Linked DNA regions of Drosophila melanogaster. The protein of the gene in region 1 purifies or fractionates together with the protein of each later gene. This does not show direct contact. Each region holds a gene or a part of one and is shown on either strand. Other genes may lie near its edges. The genes, in order: Trap1, CG10887, Hsdl2 and clu.

Evidence for each region.
Region 2: the proteins of Trap1 (region 1) and CG10887 purify together in Drosophila melanogaster (affinity purification with mass spectrometry, with the first as the bait; one large-scale study listed by BioGRID). This does not show direct contact.
Region 3: the proteins of Trap1 (region 1) and Hsdl2 purify together in Drosophila melanogaster (affinity purification with mass spectrometry, with the first as the bait; one large-scale study listed by BioGRID). This does not show direct contact.
Region 4: the proteins of Trap1 (region 1) and clu purify together in Drosophila melanogaster (affinity purification with mass spectrometry, with the first as the bait; one large-scale study listed by BioGRID). This does not show direct contact.

The regions. Positions count from the first base shown.
Region 1 is NT_033778.4:6,633,134-6,637,939, reverse strand, and holds Trap1 (Trap1), read left to right. Parts: upstream 1-1,677; 5' UTR 1,678-1,952; coding exon 1,953-2,085; intron 2,086-2,161; coding exon 2,162-3,929; intron 3,930-3,991; coding exon 3,992-4,166; 3' UTR 4,167-4,293; downstream 4,294-4,806. Other genes in the region: Bap170 (brahma associated protein 170kD), read right to left, coding at 1-945, 1,010-1,251.
Region 2 is NT_033777.3:20,113,291-20,117,682, forward strand, and holds CG10887 (uncharacterized protein), read left to right. Parts: upstream 1-1,547; 5' UTR 1,548-1,648; coding exon 1,649-1,688; intron 1,689-1,746; coding exon 1,747-1,786; intron 1,787-1,842; coding exon 1,843-3,793; 3' UTR 3,794-3,849; downstream 3,850-4,392.
Region 3 is NT_033777.3:27,675,646-27,679,522, reverse strand, and holds Hsdl2 (hydroxysteroid dehydrogenase like 2), read right to left. Parts: upstream 2,002-3,877; 5' UTR 1,840-2,001; coding exon 601-1,839; 3' UTR 510-600; downstream 1-509. Other genes in the region: CG12883 (uncharacterized protein), read right to left, coding at 1-22, 93-113; unc80 (uncoordinated 80), read right to left, coding at 2,628-2,861, 2,918-3,582, 3,643-3,811.
Region 4 is NT_033778.4:16,184,803-16,189,642, forward strand, and holds the start of clu (clueless), read left to right. Parts: upstream 1-1,781; 5' UTR 1,782-2,120; coding exon 2,121-2,334; intron 2,335-3,086; exon of another isoform or gene 3,087-3,352; intron 3,353-3,775; coding exon 3,776-4,840. Other genes in the region: CG8441 (uncharacterized protein), read right to left, coding at 362-949, 1,010-1,183. UniProt on the Drosophila melanogaster protein: mRNA-binding protein involved in proper cytoplasmic distribution of mitochondria.

The DNA.
Region 1 (4,806 bases):
TCCTGATGAAAGCTGAGTGTACGGACTAGCTGGACAATCTGAAGCACTCGCTGGCCCATGCGCTCATCAGTCCCGTTGCTCCGGCGCAGATTAAGGAAGTGCAACTCGTCGCAGGCCGCCAGCAGTTCACTTCGAGCGGCAGAGTTCTCACCGTCCTCCTTACTTATCAGACCGTTGTCCAGCCAGGCCTGCTCATCCGTGTAGAGCTCTAGGACCTGTGGCTTGTCGTGTAGCAGGTCGCGCCAGAAACTGAGCTGCGAATGGTGTCGAACCTCGGTGTAACTGTGCTGGAACAGCTGGCGCATGGTGAAGTCAGCGTAGACTCCCAGGTGAGCAAGCAGCACATCAAGCAGTTTGGGGCACTCGGACAGCTGTAGGGTGTGGCGCGCCTCGTTGGCCATAAGTGTGCACACGTTTATGGCGAAGTCCTGCTCATTGGGCAGCGGAGAAAGCAGAGACAACAGCAGCTTCTCGTAGCTGCTGTGTCGGTGCAACTGCGTGGACATCTTGTACTGTCGGCGTCGTTCCACATTAACAGAGTGCTGGCGCTGGTTGTAGGCCATTGGCACCGCCGGCAACGTAGAGTGTGCTGATCCAAAAATGCTTCCTAGGCCACCACCGGCGCCAGCCAAAAAACGAGATCGCGAGCGTCCACCGCCCATTTCTACAATCTCAATAGCCGCCTCCAGAGCCTCCATCTTGTCTGGATCCTCGCCAAAGAAGTTCAACCGTTCGTACTTGTCCAGGTAGCGTCTGTAGATGTGCTTGATACTAGCCGTTCCGTTAACGCAGCGCTCCCGCAATGTCTCCATGGCGCTGTACACCTCGTCCCACTCGTCCCGCATGGTCACCTTATTAAAGCCGCCTCGTTCGGTTACCTCGTTGTACAGCTTGTACAGGTCGACATGCTTACCGCTGATCCTGGCGGGCTGTGTCAATGGAGTGCTGTTTGGGCAGAGGGAAAGTGGGTTAGGTCGTCTCCAAATACAGGAGAGCCGCGGCAACTCACCCGCGTCGTTCGTGAAACTGCTGCAGGTCCCTCCAGAACTCCTCCGGAGGTGACGGCGGCATCTCCTCGACCTTCTCCGGCATGATCTGTAATTGGGCGGGATTCTTGGCGCGAAGGGGAGTCGCTGGGGCCGCAATCTTGCCCGGCGTCTGTAGATCGCCCGGCTGAGTGGCGCTGTTTACGGCGGCAGCAGGCAGCGACTGAAGCAGCACCCGTACGTTGTCGATGGTGGTGGCGCTCATGATTGGATCTTTTTGTGTGGTGGCGTGAATGGGAAACACTTAACACATGATATTCTAATAGTAAGACACGCAGATGCTAATTAAAATTATTTAAAAAACTCAACAAAAATTACAACGCGACGCTGACGCGCTACAGCAGAGTTGCATTCACGAGCAGGGCTGTCAGCAATTGGACCGTATATCGATATGAGGTATCGATGTCTTTCAATATTGGATTTGATTTAACTTTCTTTTATTTACTGTCTTCTTTGAAGACATTTGTTATTTCATAACTCAAAAATCAGCATCCAATCTACATTGGCTAAACAATGAAACGTAATCTGTTCTTAATTCCTTCAGAATTTACGGTTTGTTGTTCACAGTTGAAACATCTCTATCTCTCTCTCTCTCTCTTGCTGATCGAAATCTTTAGAGAACTAGTCAGCTGGCAGTTTGCTTCAGTTTTGAGCTGAATAATGTGATGAAACTGAACTCTCCATTACATGTAGTAACTCTTATTCAAACCAACTAAGCATTTGAGTCCAAAATTCATTACAGCCCAGAAATTTGGAAGAAAACACCGTTATGAGTAGGGTTTTACCAGTTTACTATTATCGAATACTTACAATCGATTGATTTGGCTACACTGTGCACACATGTGCGCTGGAACAAACTTCGTAGTTGGGTAACATTAAAGTTGGGCAAAACATTAAAACAACAAGATGTCTGTACGAGCGATGGGAGTGCTGGGCCAGGCGTGCCGCCTCGGTCGCTGTGCCCAAGTGTTGAGGCAGAGTCACCGATCCGCCCCAGCAGCGTTCAATATCACCATTGGATCGCAGCATTCGCCGGGTGGTAAGCACTGAATATAAGCAACCGGCTCCCCGGAGGGATTCTTATGTTTACATAACACTCATCTTTTCACTTGCAGCTCTCTCGCTCCGTCGCTACTCCACGGAGACCAAGCAGGCATCAGGATCAGTGGTGGACAAGCATGAGTTCCAGGCAGAGACGCGCCAGCTACTTGACATTGTGGCTCGTTCCTTATACTCCGACCACGAGGTCTTTGTGCGCGAGCTTATTTCGAATGCAAGCGATGCGCTGGAGAAATTTCGGTACACCTCGTTGAGCGCTGGAGGCGAGAATCTGGCTGGAAAGGACCGGCCTCTGGAGATTCGTATCACCACCGACAAGCCACTGATGCAGCTAATCATCCAGGACACGGGCATCGGCATGACCAAGGAGGAGCTGGTCAGCAACCTGGGCACCATTGCACGCAGCGGCTCGAAGAAGTTCCTGGAGCAGATGAAGGGGACCCAGCAGGGAGCCAGCTCGGAGGCATCCTCGAACATTATTGGTCAGTTCGGCGTGGGCTTTTACTCTTCCTTCATTGTCGCCAATAAGGTGGAGGTGTTCACGAGGGCGGCTGTGCCTAATGCACCCGGACTGCGTTGGTCCACGGATGGCAGTGGAACCTACGAGATCGAAGAGGTGCCTGACGTTGAGTTGGGAACGCGAATCGTGCTTCATTTAAAGACCGATTGCCGTGAATATGCGGACGAGGAGAGGATCAAGGCGGTAATCAAGAAATACAGCAACTTTGTGGGCTCACCCATCTTGCTTAACGGAAAGCAGGCCAATGAGATCAAGCCTCTGTGGCTTCTTGAGCCACAAAGCATCAGCAAGGAGCAGCACCATGACTTCTATCGGTTCATTAGCAATAGCTTCGATGTCCCGCGCTTCACCTTACACTATAATGCTGACGTACCCTTGAGCATCCATGCACTGCTCTACTTCCCCGAAGGAAAGCCTGGTTTATTCGAGATGTCTCGGGACGGAAACACCGGTGTGGCTCTTTACACCCGCAAGGTGCTTATTCAGTCCAAGACTGAGCATCTGCTGCCCAAGTGGCTGCGTTTTGTAAAGGGTGTTGTCGACTCTGAGGACATTCCACTCAACCTGAGTCGCGAGCTGCTCCAGAACAGCAGCCTGATTCGCAAACTGTCCAGTGTGATTTCCACCCGCGTTATCCGTTTCCTGCAAGAGCGGTCCAAGAAGCAGCCAGAAGAGTACGAGGCCTTCTACCGGGACTATGGGCTTTTCCTGAAGGAAGGAATTGTAACCTCCAGCGACGCCTCCGAGAAAGAAGAAATAGCTAAACTTCTGCGTTTTGAATCCTCCAAGTCGGAGACCGCCAGTGGGCGCATGTCGCTGGAGGAGTACTACAACGCCGTTCCCGCAGAACAGCAGAATATTTACTACTTGGCAGCACCCAACCGCGTTCTTGCCGAGTCCTCGCCCTACTACGAGAGTCTGAAGAAGCGCAACGAGCTGGTGCTCTTCTGCTACGAACCCTATGATGAGCTGGTGCTCATGCAGCTGGGCAAGTTCAAAAGCAAAAAACTCGTTTCCGTGGAGAAGGAGATGCGCGAAGAGTCCAAGGAGACAACAGCGACCACCGACTTTGGCGAGGGCAGTCTGCTGCGCTCAGAGCTCGACACTTTGATTCCCTGGCTGGAGGAGGAGCTCAGGGGGCAGGTTATTAAAGTAAAAGCCACCACTCGTCTAGACACCCATCCCTGTGTAATCACCGTAGAGGAAATGGCTGCCGCTCGCCACTTCATTCGCACCCAGAGTCACCAGGTGCCAGAACAGAATCGATTTGCCCTGCTTCAACCAGAACTGGAGATCAACCCAAAGTGAGTCCTGCTCCTCACGTTTCTTTCGTTGCTTTCTTATTTTGCATTTTTCCTTACCTTAGGCACCCCATCATCAAGAAGCTTAACAAGCTCCGTGAGAGCGACAAGGATCTGGCCCAACTTATCGCCAAGCAGCTCTTTGCAAACGCAATGGTGGGCGCCGGTTTGGCTGAGGATCCCCGCATGCTGCTAACCAACATGAACACTCTGCTATCGCGGGCCCTGGAGAAATACTAGAGTGCGCCGTAGAAGGAACAGTGTAGATATACCGACTATGTAATATTAATTTCTATAATTAATTTCATAAAACGTGTTGAAATAGTTTTAAATATGTATAATTAAACGTTTTAAATATTTTAATTCCAAAAATGAAGGGGAATATAATTTTTTCGGGCTTAATTTTAACTTTGTGTGCCTAGTGTGTGCACAATAATGGGGCTTACACTAGGCATTTTATACAAAGAGTTTTTGCATAAACGTATTCTTTGTTCAAAAGCTCCATAGAAACCAATATTTCTAAAAAAAAGTGTAAATAAAATATGAATTTGTTACATTATACGTACTATAAAAAACGTTTTGTAAGCTATTTTATAATAGCTAATACCGTTCTTGGGACCCATTTAGTTCGAGCAATTGAATTTTTCTATGGTACAAAAAGATGTTTTCCATACAAGTTCATGAACGAATTGACCAAGCTATCAGAAATATAAAATAAAATATTAATTTTGATGTGCTTATGTTCTTCAATTTCGTGCATCCTTTTAAAATCGGTGTGAAAGCAATGCTTTAATTGTATTGGCTCTAGTGGAAACATTGTTAGTGCATTTTGACGTCCATCAGGTGGCAGCGCTGGCACAACTATCGCCGAAAATCCGCC
Region 2 (4,392 bases), on another chromosome or scaffold:
TCATTCCGTAGTCGGACAATACCACGCTTAGTGGCATAAATAAATTCGCCTTGCTTGGCCACTGCAATCTTAAGTGGAGGCACAACCTCCACACTGTCGGTATACAGCGACTCATCATTTATAAGATGGTCACTAGCACCAGAATCAAGGACAAACCCGCAGTTGTCCATCACTGAAGTATTATTCACTTCTTTTACCATAAACGCAATGCCGTGTGATGTTGCAGTTTGAACTTGTTTTTCATTTTCTTTATTTTTATTATTTAATATTCTTTTATAATGGAAACAATCTTTTTTAATGTGGCCTTCTCTGCCACAGTGGTGACACTTGACTTTATACTTTGAATTTCCCTTGAATATTTTCTTTGGTTTAGTTACCCGATTTTTAAACAAATTATTTTTATAAGTGTTATTATTGTTGTGCACGATCGCGTTCATAACTTTCTTGCTTGTATCGTTGTGGTCATTTTTAATTTTAATTTCTTGATCCAGCAATCTATTTTTCACAAACGCCAATGTCAAATTTTCTTCAGATAATGTCTCTATCGCTGTAATAATTCCATCGTAACACGAAGGCAATGTGATCAGTAGATGAGAAATTTTATCCATCTCTTCTATTTTTGCACCAGCTGCCAACAATTCACTTATAAGTTCGTCAAAAATATGAAAATGGCTTAATAGTGACATCTCACTTGATAGCTTCAGAGAAAGCAAACGTTTTCGCAGCGCCAGTTGCGACGCCAAACTTTTTCGTTCATAAACGGCGTCCAAATTCTCAAGAATCTGACGCGCCGTAATGTCGCTTGTTGCGAAATTTAAAAACGAGTCGCTTAGGTACTCTATTATTGTACTTTTTGCACAACGCTCTGCCTTTTTCCAGGAGTCATCTACCTCGTTAGGCATTAAACCATCAACTACTTTAAGCACATCTTGCTCGGCTAAAAGAGCCCTAATTCTAAATTTCCAAATCGCGTACTTCTCGCCATCAAACGGCTTAATATTACGTTTAGCCTTGTCCATTTTTCACTCAAATTCTGAGAAGGAAATAATTTCACAAGAATGTGAAAAAAAAAGCTATTTCACAAGAATGTGAAAAAATGCTATTTCACAATTTATTTTCACAATCTTTAATTCACAATTTAATTGTTTATTAGGCATGGACTGGGCCCATAACCTGTTGTAATTTATAATTTATATTTCCTTTCTTAATAAATAAATAAATAGTCAAGTTTATGTTTGAGTTTTATGATTTATATTTTAAGTTATTTCAACTGCAACACCAGCACCACGACCTACTCACAGCAAAAAACGTACAAGAAGGAAAGAAGGAATAAAAAGAGTGGTATTCTCTTACAATATGTTTTATGGCATAAAAGGTGTGGCCATTCATATCAAATATAAAGTAGTGTTGTTTAACGTTATTTTTGTAGGTTGAATAGTATATTCCAACAGTTTTAAACCAATTAAAACAGTAGGGGAACAACACTGATTGTTAGAAAAGCTGACAACTCTTGCCCAGACAACTCTGTCAAACAATCGATAAATCAGTCACTTGGCTCGGCTGTCATTACGTAAAAAACCATATAGTTTTTTTTCTGTGCTGCTTGTGAAGAAATTGTGTTCCACTAACTCTTCGCCTTACGCTAAAAATGGCTGACCCCAATTTGCACGACAATCAAGTAATAAAAGGTTTGTAGTCTATAGAATATTAATAAAAATTGAATTATTATCTACGCTTTTACTTTAGATGGTGAATCTTCCGAAAGCTGGCCTGCATTCAATAGGAGGTTGGTTTAGGTACATATATTCTGCAGAACTTAGTAATCCCATATGGCTTTTCCAGGAGCCCGAATCCCTCTTTCTCCAGCGTTGATCAACAAGGAAATAAAACTAAGGCACGAAGGCAGCACCAAAGCCGTTCACATTCTTTTCACTCAACAGCAAATAGTGTTCCTGAATCGCAGGGACCTCTTGAATCTCGATCTGATCTGAACGCCAAGACATCATCGAAAAGCGAACGACCATATATTTCCACATCCAATTCAAGCTGGACCTCTGAATCCAGCTCCGGAAGTCCACCAGATTCAGGAGAATCGTCTTCGTTTTCGACTTCATCTTCGCTTTCATCATCATTATTATGTGCTCCAGAACCGAAATCTATTAACTGGAGCAACCCGAAATCTTCTTCAAATATCTCAAATGAAACCACAACTTCTGCGGGACAGGTTGGCGGCATTCCGAGCTTTTCAGAAAGTGATGACCAGGGAAGTGTCGACTCTGAAACAGTCTCTAACATCAGAAAATCAACTTCCCTCATAGAACTTAAAGACAATTTCAATACAATCATTGACGAAGATAATAATCAACAGCTCTCTAACGAGGGCAACATATTGTCCCCTGGGACAGTTTCTATTTCCAATTTTCCAAGCTCGAATGAAGTAGCAAATGGATTGATTGATGAGATGGAACAAGACCTACTCTCGAAGCAACATTCTACATCGACCCCAATAAATAAAAGTAATACAATGGAAAAAGAATTGCTCCCATTGCAATGTTCTTCATTTCCACCGACATCATCCGAAGGTAATATTTTAAAACCCAGGGTCAATCCTGTGCCATTAGGTCCCAGCTCAAATACAGAGTATGAATCAAATGGAAAAAATTACAACATTGAAAAAAGGTTGTCCCAATTGCGATATAGTTCAGATGAAAAGGAATCCGATGTCTTGTCGTATGCCTCTTCTGATAGTCTCGATTTAAATTTCGATTACGGTGATAATGCAAAGAATCAAAATGGAAATGGAATGAATGGAGAGGTAAATGGTGATAAGGAGTCGCAAGTTCTTGATATAGAAGAACAACGCAAACCTTTTGAAAAAGATGTAGCAGTTAAGTTCCAGACCACCATAACAACCCAAAATTGTGGACTTCTAAAAGGTCCATCGCAGTTTCTGAAGATGCCTTATTTCATACCCGTGGAATCCAAGGCATACGTGCCTGAAACCTTTCAGGATCGCATGACTAAGAATGATTTGAAGGACGAACAGTCACGCGAGGATTTCATAAATCGTCTAAAGGCAACTGTTAGGTGGCGCGAGAACGAAAACAAAACCAAGGAGTCCAATGCGAAAATTGTTCGTTGGTCCGATGGCAGCGAAACCTTTCATGTGGGCAACGAGGTTTTCGATATGATGCATCACCCGGTGACCGTTAACCAGAACCATTTGTATGTTCGCCTGGGCAGCTTCTACCAGCCTCAGGGTTTGATCCAGAATAAGTTGACTGTGCGTCCCATGCTGGACTCCAATTTCGGACAGAGTCATGTCCAGGCCTTGCGTAATCGAGCCACGAATAAGCCACAGTCTGGGTGCGTTAAGGTGATAACGAACATGGGCTCCAATCCCGAGCACGATCATGATCGGCGCATGAAGGAGGAATTGTCCAAGCTTCGCCAGGAGGGTCGTGAAAAGAATCGCGCGCTTATGAAGAATCATCCTCCGAAACGTGACAGGCACTATCAAGGCTCCGATCACAATGTGGCCAAAAACGCAGGGGCATTCGAAGAGGACGACGGTGAGGGTGCAGATTGCGAGACAAGCTCTGCATTGGAGGTTACGAATGAACCAATGCGCAGCGAGGAAGATACCGAAGATCATATGGACGATGATGCTTCTTGGAGCTCACCCAATTCCCAGGAGGAAGGAAAGCAATCGAGTTCCGAAGACGATCTCCCGATCGGAGGTGCTATCCGCAAGCCCACGCGTTTGGTCTATTCCGGATCAGATTCCGACTAAATATTAAATAGCCGCTAGATACGAAATCTCAATAAACATGTCATTAGCCAGCACGCAACAAAGCGTAGAGCCAGGAGTAGCTGCAACTGATATTTAATTAACAATTTCTCGCGCCCACAGTGGGTGTACGGCCATTGCCTTAATTAGGGGGCGTGGCAGCTGAGGCAGGCAGACATTGGTAGTCGGCGCAGAAATTGCTAAAGGTCACAATGGGGTCGTGATTGCAGCGCGGAGCACTCTAACCCAAATGCCATTGTCCGACTGCCAAACTGGCCGGCATACCAACGCCCAAAGCAATTAATGGTAGGTGCATTGGATTGCTGCCTGGTGTTTTTGGGAGATTGGACTCGTGACTCGGTGGGTCGTATGTGGGTTTTGGGGGCGGCAAGTGGGTGGCTTTCTGGTCAGCGGCTCAGTCGGACTTTGCTCTTTGATTCCAGCTTTATATTTGTCACCGCCATCTCAGGTAGCCGAAATAAGATACATACATACTTAGCTTGTTAAAAATTTGAAATTAATAAGTACTTTATTTGTTAGCAAAAGGCGTTATCCTGAAAATAGTTATACATTTGGTTGTTAACTATGATTATTTTGTCTCA
Region 3 (3,877 bases), on another chromosome or scaffold:
TTATCAGCTGTAGGGTCTTGTTCTAGCGATAGCGCACAAAAGTCCGATGAGTAATTGACTTCCTTGCCCACCTCTTCCTTGTTTCTACTCACCTTGCTCGAACTGCTGGCCATTTCGAATGTTTGGTGTATCAGCCTCTTAAATTGGGTGTATCTCTTTATAGATTATGTTCACTTGACGACAGGTGGACCCACACCTTGTTTACTCTTACTTCCTATTGTATTGCTTTTTACTTGTGACCGGCACGATTTTTAACCCACGAATTTTATTGGTCAACAAATAGGGCAGTGTGATTGCGCAGAGGTGTGCCGAAAATACAACGATTCCCTTGGATGAACTAGATCTGGTCAGTCTGAATGAATTTGAATTGCGAATAGCCCGCGCTATTCCAAAATATTAATTTATTTTAATTTAATTCATTAAACAATGAATTATTCCCACATTAACAACGCACTATGACAACTATAACTACTACTCGATCATCGATTAATTGCTGGCTTTTGGAATTTCTAAGGAATCTCATACTTTATTAGGAAAATACATACATACATAAACTGAAACGCTTGTAAACAATAGAAAACTCAGCCACTCAATCGCACCCTACAGCTTGGACTTGAGCGCCTTCATTAGCTTCTCCAGCTTGAGAGCCTTCTGGAAATCGCCGCTGATCTTCAGCTTGCCGGTCATGTAGGCGGGAGCCGCCTTCAGTTTACCCGAGAACATGTCGAAGAAGTTCTTCGAGTTCATGGTGAGCGTGGCGTCGGGAGCGGCAGTTGGCGTTCCGGCACCGCAGGATCCGGAGCCGTTCTTCAGGTCCAGGAACCAGGTGCCCTGCTCGGCGCCGCTGATGTTGAACTGGAAGACAGCCTGCGTCTTCGAGACGATCTCGGGCGAGAGGAGAGATTCGATTTTCCGGAACAGCTGCGGAATCTTGACGTCTCCTCCACTTGCGGGAGCAGCAGCATCTTCTGCCGCAGCTTCATTCTCTACCGGAGCTCCCTTCTCCTCCACGAAGAAGTCCACCATCAGCTTGTCGGCGTTCTCGCGGAAGCAGGCGTATTCGGTGAGATCAGTGATGCCCGCCGATTCCAGCACCTCGTCGTCCACAAAGAACTGACCAGTAGACTGCCTGGGCTCACGGGTCAGGATTGCGTAGGCGGCATCGGCCATGATCTCCGGCTTGCGTGACCACTTGGCGGAATCTGGACCCGTCAGCATCTCGATGGCCGCCGTGTGAATGGCAGTGCGCGGCCACAGAGCGTTGACGGAGATTCCCTCGTCCTTGAACTCCGCGGCCATGCCGAGCACACACATGGACATACCGTACTTGGCCATGGTGTAGGCCACATGCGGGCCAAACCACTTGGGCTTCATGCTCAGCGGCGGCGAGATGTTGAGAATGTGGGCGTGGTTGCTCTTCTTCAGGTACGGCAGGCACACCTTGGACACCAGAAAGGTGCCTCGAGTATTGATGTTGTGCATCAGGTCGTAGCGCTTCATGTCCGTATCCGGGGTATTGGTCAGCGAGATGGCGCTGGCGTTATTGATCACAATGTCGATGCCACCGAACTTGGCCACCGCGGCCTCAACGGCGCTGCGCACCTGTTGCTCATCCCGCACATCCACAACGCAGGGATAGGCCTTTCCGCCGGCCTTCTCGATCTCCTCCGCAGCCGAGTAGATGGTGCCCGGCAGCTTGGGATGCGGTTCCGCCGTCTTGGCCGCCACCACAATGTTGGCTCCATCGCGGGCCGCCTTTAGAGCAATCTCCTTGCCAATTCCTCGAGAGGCTCCCGTGATGAACAGGGTCCGTCCGGCTAGTTTTCCTGTGTTGATCATCCTGTCCAAAGTTTAAAGACCGTTCGCTGTGAGATCTGGATTCACACCGGTAACGGTGACAGTGTTCTCAATCGAAGATTCCAAGAGAAAGTCCAAAGTGCAGATTCAACCGATTTGATCCACACAACAAGTCGTCGAGTTTCATGCACGCACACACACTCACCACTCCACACGCACACTGTCTTCTCCTGTGCCCGGTGTGGCAACCTTCGCCTTTGACTTGCAAAAATATGGCAGCACTCGACATATTTATTTGAAAAATAAACGCACTGATAGTGGCGAATTTTTATGTTAGTTAAAGTTAATTCGTAGATAATTTGCAAGAAACAAAAAAAAGATTAACTAGTAAATATTTCAATTATTATCAGTTTTTATAAATTCACAACTAGCAAAATCATGTTTTTTGTCCGAAAACTGGTTCGAAAACACGACAAGTGATCACATCTCTAAGTTCGATACTGATAGCCGGTACTTATCGATAAGCCGTTGGTAGCTGAGTGTAGCCATGTCATCAAATTCAAATTCCAGCGCCACTTTTTACATCGTCAGTACTTCTCATCAAAAATGCGGAGTAAAACTTAGAACGGCTACCAAGTACTTTTATTAGTTCTAACTCTACCTATCTTATACAAAAATGGCACACAATGGAAAACAACGATTCATCTATAAAACTCAACGCCCAACAACTACCTTCTGCTGCATGTTTAACTAAGTCCTCCAAAGTCCTTTTAATAAGTGCAACCATATGGGTTCTAAAGTTCGTAGGCCCGGTCGCCGTTCTGTGATTGTTAAATGAGGGTGTCCTCGTCCTGTCCCTCGAAGACCATTAATAGCGAGTGCTGCGAGGGTGAGCGGCCCAGGGTCAACCCACCCAAGGATCCATCCGGCGAGAGCAGGCCAGTCTGCAGGCTGTTGTTGTCCCGATAGCCAGAGGTGGAGGATGTCTGTGAAACGGAGTCCCAGGAAATCTCGCCCAGGGTCTTTGCCTGCGCCTGCGGGGCCTGCTCCTCCTGCGAGGTGACCTTTGAAGGACATATGTATGGGAATTTCAGGGCTAAAACATCTCTGGTCCACTTACAATGCTGGGTGGTTCCATGGGCGTCAGGCGACTGCGCTTAAGTCTAAAGGTCTTTCGGCTGGCGGCCTTCGATCGCTGCAGGCGTGAGCGGGTATGATCGCCGGAACTATCCTCCGCCGGGCTCTCCGGCGAGAGCGGTGTGGTGGATGTCTCCCCGGATGAGTGCCGGAACTCCACGGACGAAACGAAGCGCAGCTTGGGTGGCTGGGCCTTGAAGGGAGCCTGCTGCAACGACTGCGAATGCGAGAGATGCGAGGGTACGGCGGAGGCGGCACCGGTACCAATACCACCGCCCGATCCATGTCCCGATCCGCTCGGCGTGGCCCCCACCAGCGTGGGCGCCGATCCTGCGTCCGCCTCGCCGCTCTGGCTCTCGCTGGTCGTCGTGTGCGGATCCCGGCCCGTGGAGCTGCTCGAGAGCGACTCCCGCGGCGGGTGCAGCGTCTGCTGCGACAGCGTGTCGCTGGGCGTGCAGATCCCGCCGGATCCGCTGCGCGAGTCGATCGGCACGGCGGAGACGTGGGAGTGCGAGGCCTGGCCCGTGGTGGTTCCTGTGAAGATAGATATGAGTGAAGGTCTTTGCTGCGACTTGTGGGCTTCAGCCGCACTAGTTGCCGCCGGTGTGTCGCTCTTCTTCTGCTCGGAACTCTCGCGATCTGTGGAGACTGAAACATGAGTGGGTGTGTGGCGTAAGGATTTGGATTCCGTCCGCTTTGGCCTCTTACCGTAGCGTTTCTCCTCCAGCTCGTCGCGCAGGTCCCGCAGCTCCCTGGCCAGTTCCAGCAGCAGAGCTCCCTTAGACTTAATCCCGCCCTGCGGCGGTGTTCCGCGCAATCGTTCCCGGATGATAAACTGCATGTGTCGCTCGTGATCCCCAATGGGTGGCTGCGATATCTGGAAGATATCAATCGTTAATGTAGTTCGATTCGATTAAATTAGAAGTATAGTTTTGGGGCATAG
Region 4 (4,840 bases), 9.6 Mb from region 1:
GTTTATACCCAGAACTAAAAATGGTGGATTTCTGTCAAGGGTATAATTAATGTATTGCCTGCGATGTCAAATTTTGAAAGCATTTATTATACTCAAAAATGCAACATTTGATGCACCTTATAAATGTAAGACAACAAAAAACAAAATGCGCACTAAAGCCACGACAACTCAATGCATAATTCGCAAAACGCTTTCTTCTCAACCAAGCTGCTTTAGAAAGATGGCCTCAGATGAAAACCCCTAGATACTGGCGATGTATAGAAATCGCTTAATATATATATATTACAAAAGTACTATAAATAAAACCGCACTGTGTTTTATTACTCTAAACGGTTTATTGATAGGAATAGAACAGGAGGTACTAAGGCACAGGCTTGTCTTGTTCTTGATCCACATTTTGGGATTCCTTTGTAGCTTCGGTGCTATCTAATTCCACTGCATTTGTGTCCTCTGCGCTTTTCGCTTCTGTATTTGAATTCACTGCCTCTTCATTCGAAGTTTCTTGGGTGTTATTGTCGTCGGATTCCTTGGATGCCACCTGTTGTCCTTCCTCAGGGCTACTTTCTGCCTTTTCTTCTGTGGGCTCTTCCTCGGAATCTGTGTTACTATCCTCTGAGGCTTCCTTAGCCAGTGGCTTCTTGTCCTCTCTCGGCTTTTTCGCCCTCTGTTTTCTCTTCAACCGTTTGGCTCGTTTCTTAGCAGTCTTTTCTTCGGCCGCGCGTCTGTTGTCGTCCAACTTCTGCTGGTAAGCTTCATCTGCTGCTTCGCGGGCACTCTGGTTCTGGATGTTCTTCTGGCGGGCGTACTCCTTGCGTCGCAAGTGGCGGTACACATGGAACTCGCCGGAACCCGCTCCAGCACTGCTTCCCATCACATTCCGCACGAACGTGGGCACCGAGGACATGAAGTCCCGTTCGCGACGCTGCTCCGGTATGACCACGGGCTTATCCTGGCAATAAAAGGTTTATTAATATGAATGTCCACCCAGCTTTCCAATGCAAACACATACCGGATTCTTCATGAGCTTCTCCAGCTTCAGCCTCTGTAGATCTGTCGCGGTTTTGATGAACGGCCGCAGAGGCTTGTCCTTCTCATCGGAATCGCTTTCTCCAGATCCCGCATTCTTTTTCTTTTTCTTTGCCTTCTGTTCGGGCTCTTTTACCAAATTCTTTATAAGCGACATGTTTGTTTGGTTAAAAACAGTATTTTATGTGTGGCTGTATTACAAGTCGTAAAAAATACACACCGAATTAAAAAAAAAACTTAACGGGGACTATGCTTGATCTGTAAAATTGTATGCGTCAAATTAGAGTCGATAAGTTAGCGGCGATGGCGGAACGGTGGAATTTCAGGAAAATTTCAATTTTTGAGATAATTTCATAACAGTAGGTCCAGCTATGAACCAACCCATCCTTAAAACAGGCCCTTTACATTAATTAATTTTTAAAAATTGTTGAATAGAAATTCACCTTCAAATAAAATAAAAAAAACCTACCCATGTTACAAATTTCACTGTTCCTCAACGACGCTAATATGACGCACTTTATAAAAAGGCTTAAAAATTTGTTTTAAATAAAAATAAGTTTGTATTGTGCATAAATTACCTTTTATTAAACAGAACACAATTGTTGTTAAAATAAATGCAATCATATATATTGGTATCGTTTTTGCGTGTGCATCCCTATCACTAGTTGTTGTCCATCTGCAATTATACACAGCAAATAACTAAATACTAATTAAAATACTGCAACCAAGCCAATGCCAGCGGTATATTTAAATGTTCACCCGGTGGTCACACTCTCAGCCGTTAACAACATAACGCGTTATTTTCTAGCGAATCGGCCGATTTATATCCTCGATAAGTAATGTGCTGAAAAGAACAGAACTAGCAAAGACCCACTTGTCATAGATGCGTACGAGATCGTTAACCAAACAACAATCACGTTCGCAATCGACCAGAAAGACACTGAAAATCGAACCGAAATCACCCCGAGCTCGGCGAGCGGTTAGAGTTGTGTAACACGGACGGACGGGCCCAAAAAAAAAAGAAACGTGAACTAGAACTCTGTGTCTCCTCCGCTGGTTTTGTTGAGTTTTTGGCGAGCAGGTGAAACAAAAGCATGGCGCTTGAAACGGAGGCGAAGAATTCAAATGCAACGGCCACGGGCGATGCAACAGCAACAGCAACAAAGGCCAGCGGCAAGGCCAAGGAGAACAACAACACGGCCGGCGGCAAAAAGAACCTGAATCCGAATTCGAATCAGCAGAATTCGAATCAGAACTTGGTCAATGGCAATGGCACGGCTGCCGACGGGCCGGCTGCGAAGAAGAAAGGTGCGTTTAACTTTCCGCCTACGCCCATGTTCAACCAACCAATCAACCACCCACCCACCCACACACCAACCCATCACCACCTCCTCTTAGCTTTGCTGCCTTGGAAACTGCCTCAATATATTATTTGCCACAAAAGCCAATCACATAACATTTTTAACATTACGTAATGGGCTTTTTCTTCCCTATAATGCCTTAAAAGCGGCGCCCGTTGTCTATGGCTGCCCCTCCACCCCCTTTTACGAGCCTTCCCTCTCCCCCTCTCTCCATAAACCGCGTGGGTTACAATTGCAATCGTAAATGTGTGTGTGTGTATTATTGGAGTTAAGTGCGTGTGTGAGAACTGCAAGTGTGAGGCTCCCTATCTCTCTCGCTCTTTCTCTTCCTCTTGGCATGGCAACGCACATGTTATTAACCCGGCAACGGCGACGAAATGTTCATTAACCCCCCGGGCGGATTTCTTGTTGCGTTTAACCTACAATTAACACGTGCGCGGCCCGAAATGCATGCACTTAACACACGCAAATTGTTCGACAATTATGTAAATCATGTTTTCTATCCGTAGACGCATCGCTCTACACTTTGTCTCCTTCTCTCCGAATTCCTTGCGGTTAATGAACATTGTACTTATCACTTTTGCTTTCTCCTCTCCCCACTCTCTTTGCCTCTCTCATTCTCTCTCCCTAGCTCTATCTCTATGTATCTCACAGTGCTGTAATTTAGTATACGGCTGTTGAAATTAGCATGGTCGTGTTAAACCCATTCCGTTTTCCTGAGAGATCGAAAGGAGATTGGATTATTCGGTGGACTGTTCGTTCGTACGGACTCCGAACGAACCCGGCCCCTTTGGCCTTATCAGCTCGCTTTTCTCTTTCTGTTTGTTTTTCTACTGTTTTGTTGTAAATGTATGTACATATGCCTTTATATGTATATGCAAGCACACAGCTTGCCGGCGAACACAGACAAACTGAGCGACAAAAGTGTGCGGACAGTATTGTTATGTAAAAATCGGAGCCTGGAGGTAGAGACACCTCTTTTTAAATTATTATATATTGCCAGACAATTTTAGAAAAGAAACGTGTAACGTATTTGCATTACCTTTAATTCTGTCACCATTTTTCAAATAATATCAAGGTTTAATTATTAAACTAGATATAAACCACTATTTATAAATTAAGAATGGTAAACATTAAATTCTAACATAAACTTGGCAGCATTGCTTGGAAATTTAAATTCCTAAGAATAATCTTTTGTTTTTAAAAACATACTAATGAACCATAATAAATAAATAACGGATTTATACAAGATTCTTCTGAGAGACATGGAAACAAAAGTCGGTCCAAAGTTCACGTTTCTCCCTATACATCGAATAGGTTACACAATGCTCCATATGCCTTTCCCAATATTGACTAACAACAAATTACTTCTTCATCGCCCCATGTAGGCAAGAAGAACCGCAACAAAAGCCCAACTGAACCCACAACCGAAGCCGTTCTGAGCAACGGACACGCCGAGAAGCCCACAGTGGTGGATGCAGTTGAGGACAATGCCGATACCAATGCCAATGTGGAGAAACCGCAGGAAGGAGGAGCACCGGATGCTGAGGCTGATGGTGATGACATTGATCTGGACGCTCTGCAGGACATTGGCATCACGGTGAACATCAGCAGTCCCGGCGCCGATCTGCTCTGCGTGCAGCTGTCCAGCATGGAGCTGGTGCAGGAAATCCACCAGCTGCTGATGGACCGCGAAGAGACGTGCCATCGTACATGCTTCTCGCTGCAGCTGGACAACGTGACGCTCGACAATTTCGCCGAACTCAAGTCAATCAATAACCTTGAGCAGGGCTCGACGATCAAAGTGGTAGAGGAGCCGTACACCATGCGGGAGGCCCGTATTCATGTGCGCCATGTCCGTGATCTTCTCAAAAACCTTGACCCGGCCGACGCGTACAATGGCATTGACTGTACTTCGCTGACCTACTTAAACACGATCACTCAGGGTGATTTGCTGGACAAGAAGAGGACGCGACCGGACTCCGTGGATTGCACTCCGCCGGAGTATGTGACTCCGGGTGTAAGTGATCCGCCAATTCTGCCATTGCATCCAAATGTGAAGAACGCCAAGGGACCGCAGGCTCTCAAGGTACTGACTACATCCGCCTGGAACCCGCCACCCGGTCCTCGCAAGCTGCATGGTGACCTCATGTATCTGTACGTTGTCACCATGGAGGATAAACGATTCCACATCTCAGCCTGTTCCAAGGGCTTCTTCATCAACCAGTCGACAGACGACACCTTTAATCCCAAGCCCGACAATCCAAGCCACCTCAGCCACTCGCTGATCGATCTGCTTTCCCACATATCACCATCGTTCCGACGTGCCTTCCAGACCATCCAGAAGCGACGCACCATGCGTCATGCCTTCGAGCGTGTAGCCACGCCCTATCAGGTGTACCAGTGGGCAGCTCCCATCCTGGAGCACACAGTGGACGCTATTCGTGCCGAGG